Rattus norvegicus: one gene and its partners. The protein of the gene in region 2 purifies or fractionates together with the protein of the main gene of each other region. This does not show direct contact. Links are inferred from orthologs where the notes say so. Each region holds a gene or a part of one and is shown on either strand. Other genes may lie near its edges.

Evidence for each region. Proteins that work in one complex are often made in the same cells at the same time.
Region 1: the proteins of Ppp6r1 (region 2) and Ppp6c purify together in Homo sapiens (affinity purification with mass spectrometry; 11 studies listed by BioGRID and IntAct, with this or other methods). This does not show direct contact. The link is inferred for Rattus norvegicus from reciprocal best matches to the Homo sapiens genes PPP6R1 and PPP6C.
Region 3: the proteins of Ppp6r1 (region 2) and Ankrd44 purify together in Homo sapiens (co-immunoprecipitation; 5 studies listed by BioGRID and IntAct, counting the BioPlex papers as one, with this or other methods). This does not show direct contact. The link is inferred for Rattus norvegicus from reciprocal best matches to the Homo sapiens genes PPP6R1 and ANKRD44.

What each region holds. Positions count from the first base shown.
Region 1 is NC_086021.1:43,340,808-43,344,307, forward strand, and holds the end of Ppp6c (serine/threonine-protein phosphatase 6 catalytic subunit), read right to left. Parts: intron 1,372-3,500; coding exon 1,123-1,371; 3' UTR 293-1,122; downstream 1-292.
Region 2 is NC_086019.1:78,242,889-78,247,779, forward strand, and holds the end of Ppp6r1 (serine/threonine-protein phosphatase 6 regulatory subunit 1), read left to right. Parts: intron 1-640; coding exon 641-774; intron 775-866; coding exon 867-999; intron 1,000-1,124; coding exon 1,125-1,195; intron 1,196-1,313; coding exon 1,314-1,395; intron 1,396-1,884; coding exon 1,885-1,995; intron 1,996-2,085; coding exon 2,086-2,148; coding exon of another isoform or gene 2,149-2,152; intron 2,153-2,226; coding exon 2,227-2,230; 3' UTR 2,231-3,472; downstream 3,473-4,891. Other genes in the region: lysoplasmalogenase TMEM86B, read left to right, coding at 4,471-4,789. UniProt on the Homo sapiens protein: Regulatory subunit of protein phosphatase 6 (PP6). May function as a scaffolding PP6 subunit. Involved in the PP6-mediated dephosphorylation of NFKBIE opposing its degradation in response to TNF-alpha.
Region 3 is NC_086027.1:63,743,941-63,747,440, reverse strand, and holds part of Ankrd44 (serine/threonine-protein phosphatase 6 regulatory ankyrin repeat subunit B), read left to right. Parts: intron 1-825; coding exon 826-1,038; intron 1,039-3,500. UniProt on the Homo sapiens protein: Putative regulatory subunit of protein phosphatase 6 (PP6) that may be involved in the recognition of phosphoprotein substrates.

The DNA.
Region 1 (3,500 bases), on a different chromosome or scaffold from region 2:
ATTACAGTTCACAAACACAAGGGTTCTGATTGTTCAGCCTTTAAAATTGCAGTTAAAAACTGAATACTTTGTAAAAGTTAAGGTCAAAGGTTACAGCGAGAGAATGCTTGCTATTGAAAAGTACATGTGTTTACTTGATGATACTCATGACAGAGTGTAAACTGGACTGAGCACATTCTACTCAATTGGTATCAAATCAACACATTAATGCTATAAGTATTAAATGTTTTCTAATACTATAGAAATAAAAACATTAATATGGCAGTTATGTTCTTTAGGCACAATTTAGTGATTTTTTTTAAAAAAATATTGAATTTTAATTGAAATTTTTAACTCAACCAAAGGGTCAAAAACTCAACAAAGAAAAAGAAAAAAAAAATAAGAAAACATAAGAAAGAAAAAGTAACTTTCAGCTAACAATGTAAATTTTTTAAAATTTCTAACACTTAACCTATCTGGGTTTTAAGATTATTTTATTAAAAAATACAAGATTTTTGAAAAAAGATCAGTACAATTATCTTAATGTACAAAGTCATAGCTGTAGCAGTTTTTAACTAAAATTTAAAAACACAACAAGGAGGGCAGCCCTTTAGACCAATTTATTTTATACCCTTTTAAAACATCAAATTATCATCCAACAAAGGACAGTGGAGTTTACAGCTTGGACAAGGGTACATGACTCAGGCATATGCAGTCCATCCTGCCCACTGGACAACTTTGCTGCTGAAATTTCTTAAATCCTACCAAACAAAAACAAAAGGCTAGCTGATACAAATGAGGAGGATTTCCATGTAATTGTCAATTGGCTTTTTAAAAAAGAGATGCTTCCTGTCTCCCCAGAACAGCAAACAAGCAAGAGCTACATGCAGCAATGTGAGTATTAAGACATTTCTCAAGTCTTCTCAAACGAGTCCATGTGGGGATAGGATGAGTGACAAAACTGATAGAAAAACACTGCTATTGACACCATAACAAACAATAAAGTTAGATAATTTAAAATTAAAAAAAAAGGCAAGAGGCAGCATTTCAGCAGCAAAGTGCTCAATAAAAAGTATATTGTAGAGGGTACAAGAAAGTTGGGGTAAAAGAGGGCAAAAAGTGGCCAGCGGGATGGCAAAGGCCTCAAAGGAAATACGGCGTCGTGGTTCTGGGAGGAATAACACGTTCTGAATCTGGAACTGCTCGGAATAACTTTGGTTCTCTCGTGTTGACGTCTTTGAAGACCATGATGGAAGCAATGTTTCCACAGCGATAGCAGTAGTTAGGAGCAGACCACACTGTGACCAGCTTCTCGTCAAACATAAACTTATAGCCTTCGTGCACAAGCTGATGTGCTCTGCAGATGAGTTTTAAGTTGTTGATATGAACAAACTGAAATTTAGAAAAGCTTTGTAAGTATTTCACCCAAGTGCTTAATAACCATTCCAAGTAGCAAGTGTCACAAATAAAGTTATCATGATTCTAAACCCCACTCTATAATCATCCCCGAAATTTCCAGTCACTTTGGCCCAAGTCTGTTTTGAAGTACAAGGTCCACAGTTACAAGTTTCTGAGGCAGGCACGGTAATTACCACCTCTACTCTCAGCTACTTGGGAGGCTGGGCAGGAGAACTGCTCGCATCGACAAGTTTAGAACCTACCGCTGCAACACAGTAATAGTAGCAGTGTAGTGGTAGTAAGAGTAGTAGTGGTGGTGGTAGTGGTGGTGATGATGATGATGATAAAAAATTGGCTAGGTTGGTAGAGAGGTAACTAAGAACCTATCACCAAGGCTAATAACAAGAATTTGATCCCAGAATCCACAGGGTAGGAGAAAACTGACTCCTACAAGTTGTCCTATAACTTCTTGACCTCCCTGTGTGTGTGCTCGTGTACACACACACACACACACACACACACACACACACACACACACACATATACATAAACAGGCAAATAAACATTACAGAGAATTGAGAGTTTGAAGTCAGCCTGTGCCACCTAGTTAAGAACTGTATCAGGTAAAAAAAATTTCTAGGGGTAAATAATTATATAATTATTACCAATTATAAAACAAAAGTTTTCTATTTAATAACCTCATAACATTACTTTCAATCTTATATGAGGATTTACTGTATGCCACAAAGACATTATCCTTCTTTACAACCTAAAGAGAAAAAGGTTCAGACGGGGTCAAGTCTTTCCATAACTGAGGACAAACCAATGGTCCTAGTGCCTAGATCTATGACTCCATTATGTTGGACCATATCTTGACAGAACATAATCCCTGTATCTGTGAATGCTATTTGCCCATATACTTGTACTTGGCTGTTCTTGATGTATGCACTGTTTTGTATATGTATAGAGCAACTAGGTTCATAATTTGATAAAACTAGTTATAAAATAGGAGATGTAAGAATTTCTATGTATAGCTTATTTGTAATTTATTTACCCTAAAGTTTTAGCAAATAGTTTCTGAATTTTAAAATTGTTGTATTCATGCAACTAGCACTGTAGATGATCAGAAATCAAAGACTGTAATCATAATATATTTTGTAAATTTTAAACAAGAAGTTATATTACTACTGTCTAATTGTTCATCCTAATGGTTCTCATTTCCACCCAGTCATAAAGATTCAGTACATGTCTTAGAACAATATTGGATTCTCTTAGCTCATGTGGTATTACTTTAAAATTTGAAATCAGGCCAGATAGACGGTTTAATGGTTAAGAACAATGGCTACTTTACCAGAAGACAGGGATTTGATTCCCAACTACCACATAGTAGCTCAAAACCACTTGTAACTCCAGTCCTAAGAGTTCTAACTCTCTTCTGGCTTCCTCAGGCATTTCATGCACATAGATGCAGACAAAACATCTACACACATAAAATAAAGAATAAAGATCATACTATGTATAGTGGTGCACACTTTTAATCCCAGCACTGGGGGTTGGGGTTGGGTGTAGAGGCAGGCAGATTTCTATGAGTTTGAGGCCAGCCTGGTCTACATAGTAAGTTCAGGACAATCAGAGTTACATAGTGAAACCCTGTCTAAAACAAACAAACAAACAAACAAACAAACAAACAAACAAAGCTTAAAAATATTTTAAACAAAAAATAAGTAAAATAAAATTTGAATTCAACCAGAATTAGACTGTCAGAATATATGCATGTTTCATGGTTCAGTGGTTAAGAGCACTAACTGCTCTTCCAGAGGTCCTGAGTTCAAATCCCAGCAACCACATGGTGGCTCACAACCATCTGTAATGAGATCTGATGCCCTCTTCTGGTGTGTCTGAAGACAGCCACAGTGTACTTACTACATAAAATAAATAAATAAAAATCTTAAGTATATTAAAACAAACAAGTTGCCTATCTTGTTTTGGTGATCCTGTTACTTAACAATATAGGTACTTTCATTATATAATCTCATTGAACTATTCAGGAAGCATAAATCAATCAACTACAGTAGAAATCTGATACCCAATAACAACCATAATTTTAATAAATTAGGCTATGA
Region 2 (4,891 bases):
CTCCAGCCACTAGTATTAGTTTTTAAAGAAACCCCTTTGTCTGTCTCTCTCTTTTTTTCCCCCCAAGATTTTTGATTTTTGTTTTGTTGAGACATACTGTCATGTAGCCCAGGCTGGCTTGAAGTTGCAGTGTATCTAAGGATAACCTTGAACTTCTTGGTCATCCTGAGTGCTGAGATTATAGGGTGCACCACCACACCGTATATGTTTTTTGTGTTCTTTCATATATTCTTCCTTTCTTTACCTTATTCTCATAAGCTCCTCAAAAACTTCATAGAACTGGTTTAAGAAAGTCACTCAGACAATGTCCTAAGTTCCAGATTTTAAACATATCAATGCCATTCTTCTGTATAGTAAGTGGCTGTTCACAGGTGGAAAGGCTTGTGTGATACTGGTGATGGGTGACTTGAAAGTTGGTGCCTCATCTCTTGTGGTTGTAGCTGAGTCTAGTTCTCAAATGACTCAGACTCCACTTGTTGGCTGGCTTCTCCAGCACCCTCATATTCCTGGGTTCCCTGGACCTCTCTGGAGGCCTTTGTTCCCCATATTTTTTTGTTATCTGCTCTGTGGTCCTGGGCTGTGGTTGGGGAAGTGGATCATAGGCTGTCCCTACATGGCCACCTAATGAATTGTCTGGCAGGAGTGGAGGAAGCACAGACAGCGAGGAGGAGGAAGAAGAGGAGGAAGAAGAGGATGAGGATGAGGGGGCTGACCAGGCAGCATGTGGAAGAACCAGCCCTTCCTCCTTCCCCAGCCCTGGCCCTCAGCCTTCTGGTGAGTGTTGGATGGCTTATGCTCAGGTATACATGGAGCTTCTGACTGTTTTGAACTTATCTTTTGTCCATGTTCTCTCACCTCTGCCACAGGCCCAAGTTGGACTGCTACCTTTGACCCAGTGCCTATGGATGCCCCAACAGGCCCCCCAGTTTCCAAGGAGGCAGACATATCCTCTATCCAGATCCTATCCAGCCCTCCAGCCCACGATTCCCCACAGCTCAGGTGTGGATGGACAGGACAGGGCAGGCGGATATTGCTCTGATATTTGGTCTGGAAGGCACTCCTATGTCTCTTAGGCTTGGGAGTTGATGACCTGCATTCTTTCAAGCTCCTCTTTTACCTTCTAGGTCGCAGGACCCCACACACCCCTCAGCACCTCAGGAAGTCACAGATAGCAGCAAAGTAGCAGAGCCCTTGGGTGAGCTAAGCCATACCTTTTCCCTAAGGGCCCTGGACCCTTGTATGAAGACAGCATAGCCATGTCTCAGCTTGCTGGAAGGTGGCAGCTAAGAACTGGCTCATCTCTTTCTCCACAGCCCCCTGCCAGGCCTTGGTTAGTGTTGCAGATGTCCAGGCCACTCTGCATGGGATGCGCTCTGCCCCCAGCTACTTGGACAGGTGATCATTAATTTCCCATCTCAGCTGGAGGTAGGATAGGGGAATCCCAGCCTCCTTGCTGAGGTGGGTGCTAGGCTCTTGTCTCTAGCTGTCCTCAGCACTAAGCTTCGGTGTCCCTGTAGCCATTCATTTTTATAATTAAATGTTTTGGACAATGGCATATATAAGGGCTCTTGTTACCCCAGAGGTAAGAACAGCTTCCAAGAGGATCAGGGACCACAAGAAGCAGGAGGACTGTGCATAGCCCCACAAGCATATTCTGCAGGGGGATAATCACTGGGAGTAGCTGGGTCTAAGGTCTCATTTTCCCCTCGAGGCTCTGCAACCCCACTATGCTCTGCTGTCAGTATGCTAATGGGCTTCTCTGTTCTGAGGTCTCTTTGCTGCCCAGCCCTGCCCTCACCTTAGGCCCCTTACGGAAAGATGGTGGCCTCAGGCAGGCAGGGATATGGGAATATCTAACAGTAGTCAAATTGATCTCTCTCACAGTGCAACCAGAGACCCCTCTACCTCTGTCCCAGACTTCAAGGCCCACCAATCCCCTCAGACAATGGAGGGGAAAAAGAGCCCAGAACATTTGGGGCTTCCCCAAAACCAGAGGTGAGTTAGTCTCTCTGGGTGGTATTGGGTGGATGGAGCAAGACTGGTAAAGCATGAAATAACCTCCAGGTTTCCTTTCTCCCCTAACAGTGCCCAGGCCCTTGAGATGCCCAATGGTTCTACCCCAGGAGGGCCCATTACATCGGGTTCTCAGTGAGTATGGCAATAGCCTGGGGTGGGTCTGCAAGATGGGGTCACTAGACCCTCACTGGTGTTTCTCTCTGTTTCTAGGTAGCTGCCTGGTGGCAGCGGTGGCCAAGTCCTCTGTCCTCCCTGTGGAGTTCCTCAGTGGGGCAGGATGAGTCCTTTGGTGGCCCTCTATTCCATTGTCCCATACCCTGCATTCTCTCCTCTGGACTCCCAGGGAGGCTGGTGCCAGGGAGATGCCCTTACCCACCCCCATTTGCACTGAGAAGAGAAACTATGGAGTTTTTCCTCCAAGAATAAAGATAGAGAGTCACATAGAGAGAAAGGAGAGAGAGAGAGAGAGAGAGAGAGAGAGAGAGAGAGAGAGAGAGAGAGAGAGAGAGAATATTATATATATTATATATATATTATATATATATTATATATATATATATAGAGAGAGAGATAGATATTGAGGGAGGAGTAAGAAAGGAAGCCAGGACAAGAACTGGGCCAGCAGCTCTGAAGCACAACCTCCCTGTCTTTCCCAGTAGGGGTTGGTGCTGGGGTTTGAAGCCGCTGACCTGTGCTCTGGTGCAGATGCTCACATCCAGCCTTTCACTCAGGATCACCGTGGGGTGTAACAGAGGACATCGGGCCCAAATGGCCATGCGTTTGTCTAGACCTTGCACTTTGACCAGTCATCTGGCCTCTGGCCCTGGGGAACACGGCCTCCCTGGCAATAGCCCCAGAGTCCCAGAATGGAGGTTGCTGGATCTCCCATACCCTGAGGGTCCCAGCACTGCTGCCAAGTGGCCTTGTCCCAGCTCCCTCCCCAAGGCTGGTGTGAGTGTGCAAGTATGTGTGCAGAGCTTGTGTTTCATACTGCAAATATAAATAAAGGAAGATAGCAGAAGATTCCTAGTGTGGGCTTTTGAGTTCCTGGGACTCAGAGTTGGGTGAACATGCTCTCCATGGCCTAGAGAGCTACATTCTCTTTGGAACACACTTGTGAGAGTGTGTATGGGTGCAGAGGGATGAAGAATATGTATACACCAGGCAGGAACATCAGGAAAAGGGTACCAGCCTTGTTGAGTTAGCACTTTGGGGCTCTCTCATCTTGATGTGCACTTCCTTAGCCCTGTTCTAAAATGCAGATCAGCTTATGACTGTGTTGAGTTAGCTTATAGCCCCCTTACCTCTATCCTCCTCTAACAGACCTTGGAGCTGACTTTCCTGCCATTGAGGGATAGACGGTAGCAGGTGTGGTGGTGCATATAAGAGTCAGGCTCAGCCTGGTCTACCAAGGACAGCCAGAGCTCAGCAGAGAAACCCTGACTCAAAAACAAAAGTGGGAGAGATTAGGAGACAGGAAACTGCCTTGAGAATGGACACACAATGAAGTATCTCCTGAGGGGATGGTTGAGAAACTTAGTAGTCCCTGGGCATCCAGTAGGTCCCTATCTTCTACATGGGAAGGCTGCAGAGTATACAGTGGCATGATATATTTCCTTCCGGGAAATACATTTGAACGACTTCGAGCATAACACAGGATTTATTTAATCAGCACTGTGACAGGACTCCTCTAGAGTCCTTCCTGTCTCTGTTCTCCAGGGTTGGTTGTGGGGGCACCCCTCTGTGGAACCTTATATTGTCCCTTCTGATTGGCTGGGCATGAGACAATGGGAGCTCCACTTGGGGGGAGGGAACTCACTTTTGCCAACCCATAAGGGAGGTGGTGGCCAGGTTTCTAGGTGCTGGGGAGGAACTGGAGGGTGGAGGGACCCTTGGTTCCTGATGGGCACCTTATCAGCAAGTGCCAGACAGGAATAGGCCTTGCGTGAGCCTTGTTATCAGCCCGAGAGTCCACAGGACACTTGGGTTAATGTGTAACCACAGGGCTTCCCCTCTGCCCTCTGAAGCCACTGGTTCCTAAAGAGAAGTCACTCAACATGGATGCTAGAAAAGAGGGACTGTCCCTGGAGATACTCTTTTCAGACCAAGTGAGAATCTGTATGGTGGGGATGGGGTCAGGTCTGGGAACATGGGCAGCCCTGGGGCCTGTGATTATCTATGCTTGGTGAGTTGGTGGGGATCCCCTGTCCTTCCAGGAGGCTGGGTTTTAAGGTATCATGGTTTTGTCCTTGCAAGAGACGTGAATGTAAAGGTTATCAAGGTGGCTAAAGATTCTAGTCCTGAAAGTTCAGCCTGGACATACTTAGGAATTGGCTTGAAGGTGGTGTGGGGACAGGTGTTTAAATAGGTTCTCACTATGTATCCTAGACCAGTTTTGAATTCAACAGCCTCCTGTTTCTACCTCCTAAGTACTGGAATTAGACATTTCCTACCATGCCTTGCTGTGACCCCTACCCCTGGATTGGGCTGAATGTTGGTAGGCTGAGCAGCTTCCCTCTCCTCAAGTATCCACAGGTCCGCAGGTGGCTGGCCCCCTTCATCGTTGCCTGCTCCCTCTACTTCCTCCTCTGGATTCCTGAGGACCAGCCATCTTGGGTCAGTGCCCTGGTCAAGTGCCAGCCCATTCTCTGCCTGGTTTTGTTCCTGTGGGCTGTGGCTCCTGGTGGGAGCTACACCTGGCTCCTGCAGGGAGCTCTTACATGTTCTGCTGTTGGAGATGCCTGCCTCATCTGGCCTGAAGCTTTCTTTTATGGTGAGCAGAGAATCCCATGACAACACACCTAGGGCACTTGTGGAGTTGAGTCAGTGCTGGAACACACAAGGAACCTTCCCTAGGGTCCCCTGGGTTGAACCA
Region 3 (3,500 bases), on a different chromosome or scaffold from region 2:
GACCAGGCTGGCCTCATGCACCGCCACCTCCCGGCTAACATTTATATTTGGTGTAATATGTAATGATCAGTCATTTTAAAGGCCTAGTCAGAATTGCACCTTGGAAGGTGAGGCTCACAGCAGGGGGGAGTAAATGGATGGTGGGGGTTGAGTAAGGAACGGCGATGGTGAGCTTGAACTGTCGGCCAGCCCTCTTCTTCTTCACCTGGGAGCAGTAATGCTCAGGGCGTCTTACCCCTGGAGGAAAGGAGAGTCAAGTGTGGTCTGAAACCAAGATGCTAACATCCAGATCCTTGAGCAGGTCTGGGAAAGAACAGGGAGCCATGGACTATAACACACCTCAGCTCTGCAGGAAGATTCGCTCCTGAGGTGTCAGGCTCCAGCGTGAAGGCAGAATTGATTCTGAGCCTGACTCAAGGGCACAGGGCCCACAAGCCACTGTCTTGCTACCCGTCTTCTCTCTTCATGGTCACAGTTCCCAAGCCCTGAGTTGGGGTTTGTCCTTTACTTCTCTAGCATTGCGAAAGTCTCTTTGCTTTCCACTGTATTTATCCGTCTCCGTCTGGATAAACCCCTCCACAGGCTGAAGCCTCTAATAACCTTGGGCTATGTTTTTTTGGGGGGGGGATCATATTCAATTTTGATTCTTTTTCCCCAGGAGGGCAGGGGGTTGAGGATACAGGCGTTCTCAGGATAACCCATTGGGGAGCAAGTGAGCTCTGAATAATTACATTGATAGGTGGATATTTCTTTTCTCTCGCCTTTGTGGCGAATGGAGTAAATTGGCTTCAGTGATTTTAATTTCCCTTGTTGGGTGCTTTGCAGATTGATGAAATCAATGTCTATGGAAACACAGCACTTCACATTGCCTGCTACAATGGCCAGGATGCTGTCGTTAATGAGCTGATCGACTACGGCGCTAACGTGAACCAGCCTAACAACAGTGGCTTCACCCCTCTGCACTTTGCAGCGGCGTCTACTCACGGTGCTCTGTGTCTGGAACTGTTAGTCAACAATGGGGCCGATGTGAACATTCAGGTATGACACTCCATCTCTCTGCCTTAAACACCTTTGCACCGAGCCTTTGAGCCAACCTAACTACTGTCAGTTTTGCTGTGTTTTCCTGAATCGGAAGCGCTTCGATTCACGTAGCCTTATCCTGGATGGAAATGCTATGGAAACAGCTAGGTTGCCTCTCTGGGCATGATGGTATCAGCATGTAGGCAGGCACCAAGTCTCCAGTCGTATCTCCTTTGTGGATTAATGAATGCTCCAGGATGAATATCAGGCCTTGAAGGCGCTAACTCAGCCTATATTTTAGTATAGCACAGTTAGCTGAGCGGGGAGAGCTGCTGAGAAGACAGAGGAAGGACTAACTCATGACTGTTCCCAATCCCAGCATGCCCTTCAAATGGTTTTCTTCAGCAAGCTGTTCTTTGGTGAAGGATCATTGACCAGATAGTGGCGAGCACTCCATCAGCCACGGAGTTGCTTAAGGACTGCCCTGCTCTTAGTTTGACAGCAGAGGAAAATCCAAACATGAGATGAGATCCCTGGCCATTACTGATTCACAATACAGGAGATAAAACCCACTCAGGCACTTGAGGCAAAACGTGATGAGTGCCAAGAGAAGAAGAGGAGTAAAACTTTGCGAAGTAGATGACGCACATATTGGCTTGTCTATTGTTTGGGGATTAAAAAAAAGAAAGGAGTTTGTTTTTGAGCAGAGTATTTGAGAGGAGCCACAGAAATAATTCGGGAGAGGGCATTCCCAACAGAGAATAGTGTGCACGAGCCGTGGATAAGAGAAGCTGTGTGCGAATTGGTGACTTTTCCTTCCTGCTTGCATTCGGGACCCTTAGAGCACAGTTTCAGGATCTTCCGTGTCTATGTTGAAAAGTCATGGTTTCAAAAGTTTAATTTCAGGACTAAGTTTAATTCAAGATATTTTAGAACCTCTATTTACCATTAGATATTTTACAGTTTTTCTTACAGTCTCTCTGTTCTGTGGCCATGTTATTTTTAAATTCAAAAGAAAGCATTTTTCATTCTGAGGAGGAAGAAAGGTAGCTACAGCAGACCTACAAATGGGATGGCTTCAAAATAACTGGCAGTTAGTGAAACTGAGGTAGGTAATGAGTCAGGCCGAGGAGTGGGAGGGGCCAATGAGGAGTGGGAGGGGCCACTCAAGGGAGAAGCCTATCGGAGGGAGAATTATCAAAGGTTGGCAAGACAAGGGGTAGGACCTGAAGATGAGGAATGGAATCTTGGAAGGGGCGTGACACTATAGAATGGACACATCTTTGTTCTGAGGCCAGACTGCCTTAACTAAAAATGACCTATGTCTTGTAAAATAAGGGAAATAATAGCATCTTCTTCGTGGGCATGTTGTGAAGATTAAGCACGGTTGTCATACCTAATTGTACAGCTCAGAGCTGTCATACAGTAAGCACTTGATATTGTTCCCATTCACTAAGAGGATGGCAGGAGCTAGAGTGGCATAGGAGGCAAGCTGACTCTTATTTATTTTGTGTGTGGGTACAGTATATGTGCTATAGCACACATGCATGTGGGTGTCAGAGGACAACTTGCAAGGAGTTAGTTCTCTTCTTGTATTATGTGGGTTATGAGAATCGAACTTGAGTACCCTGAGTTGGCAGTGAATACCCTTCCTTACCCACTGAGCCATCTCACAGGTTCTGTGTCTAAGTTTTGAGAAACTCATGTTGAGCCAGGTTGGGGACACAGTGGTAGAAAATGTGATGTTTTAGCATAGAAGGGCAATAAAGATATGAAAAAATAGTTCTTAGATTGCTTCAGTCACATAAAGGTGACAGGAAGGGTTGGTTGCCATCCAAGGAGAGAGTATATAACAGTATGACTGGAGAGGCTGAGGGAAGACTGGAGGAGAAAAAAGACACAGAGCACAGGATGAGAAAGAGTTAGGAAAGGGTAGAAAGAACTGAAGGAGTGTAATATCTTCATGAAGGTCTGAGGCTTGTGGAAAGAGAAAAATAGAACCAATGAATAGTGATTCAGAGCCCCACATTCTATATATGGAGCCCATACAGGGTCTCAGGAAGAGGTGAGAAGGCATTAAAGCAAGGAGGAGACCAAGGAGACACAAGAAGCTCACGAGAGCATTAGTGGGTCTTTAAAACTAAGGAGGATAATGGGCATTAGATAAAAGCAGTATCTTTGTGACCGTCCACTTAGTTAACTCACGAGTTGTCTAATATTCCCCACACCCCACAAAATGCACCCTAGTGCTTTGATGCCCAAACACACCTCCTTCAGCCTGCCTGCCTGCTTCTTCCAATTGGCTGCCCAGTGCTCAAATCAGATAATGGATGTGCCCTGTAGGGGTTATGTGGTCAGCCTGTCTCCTTTCCCATGGACTAGAGGAGCTGGAGAAATGGCTCAGCAGTCAATAGCTCTTGACAGTCTTGCAAAGTACTTGGTTTTGGTTTCTAGTACATAAATCCAGGGGGTTTAAAACC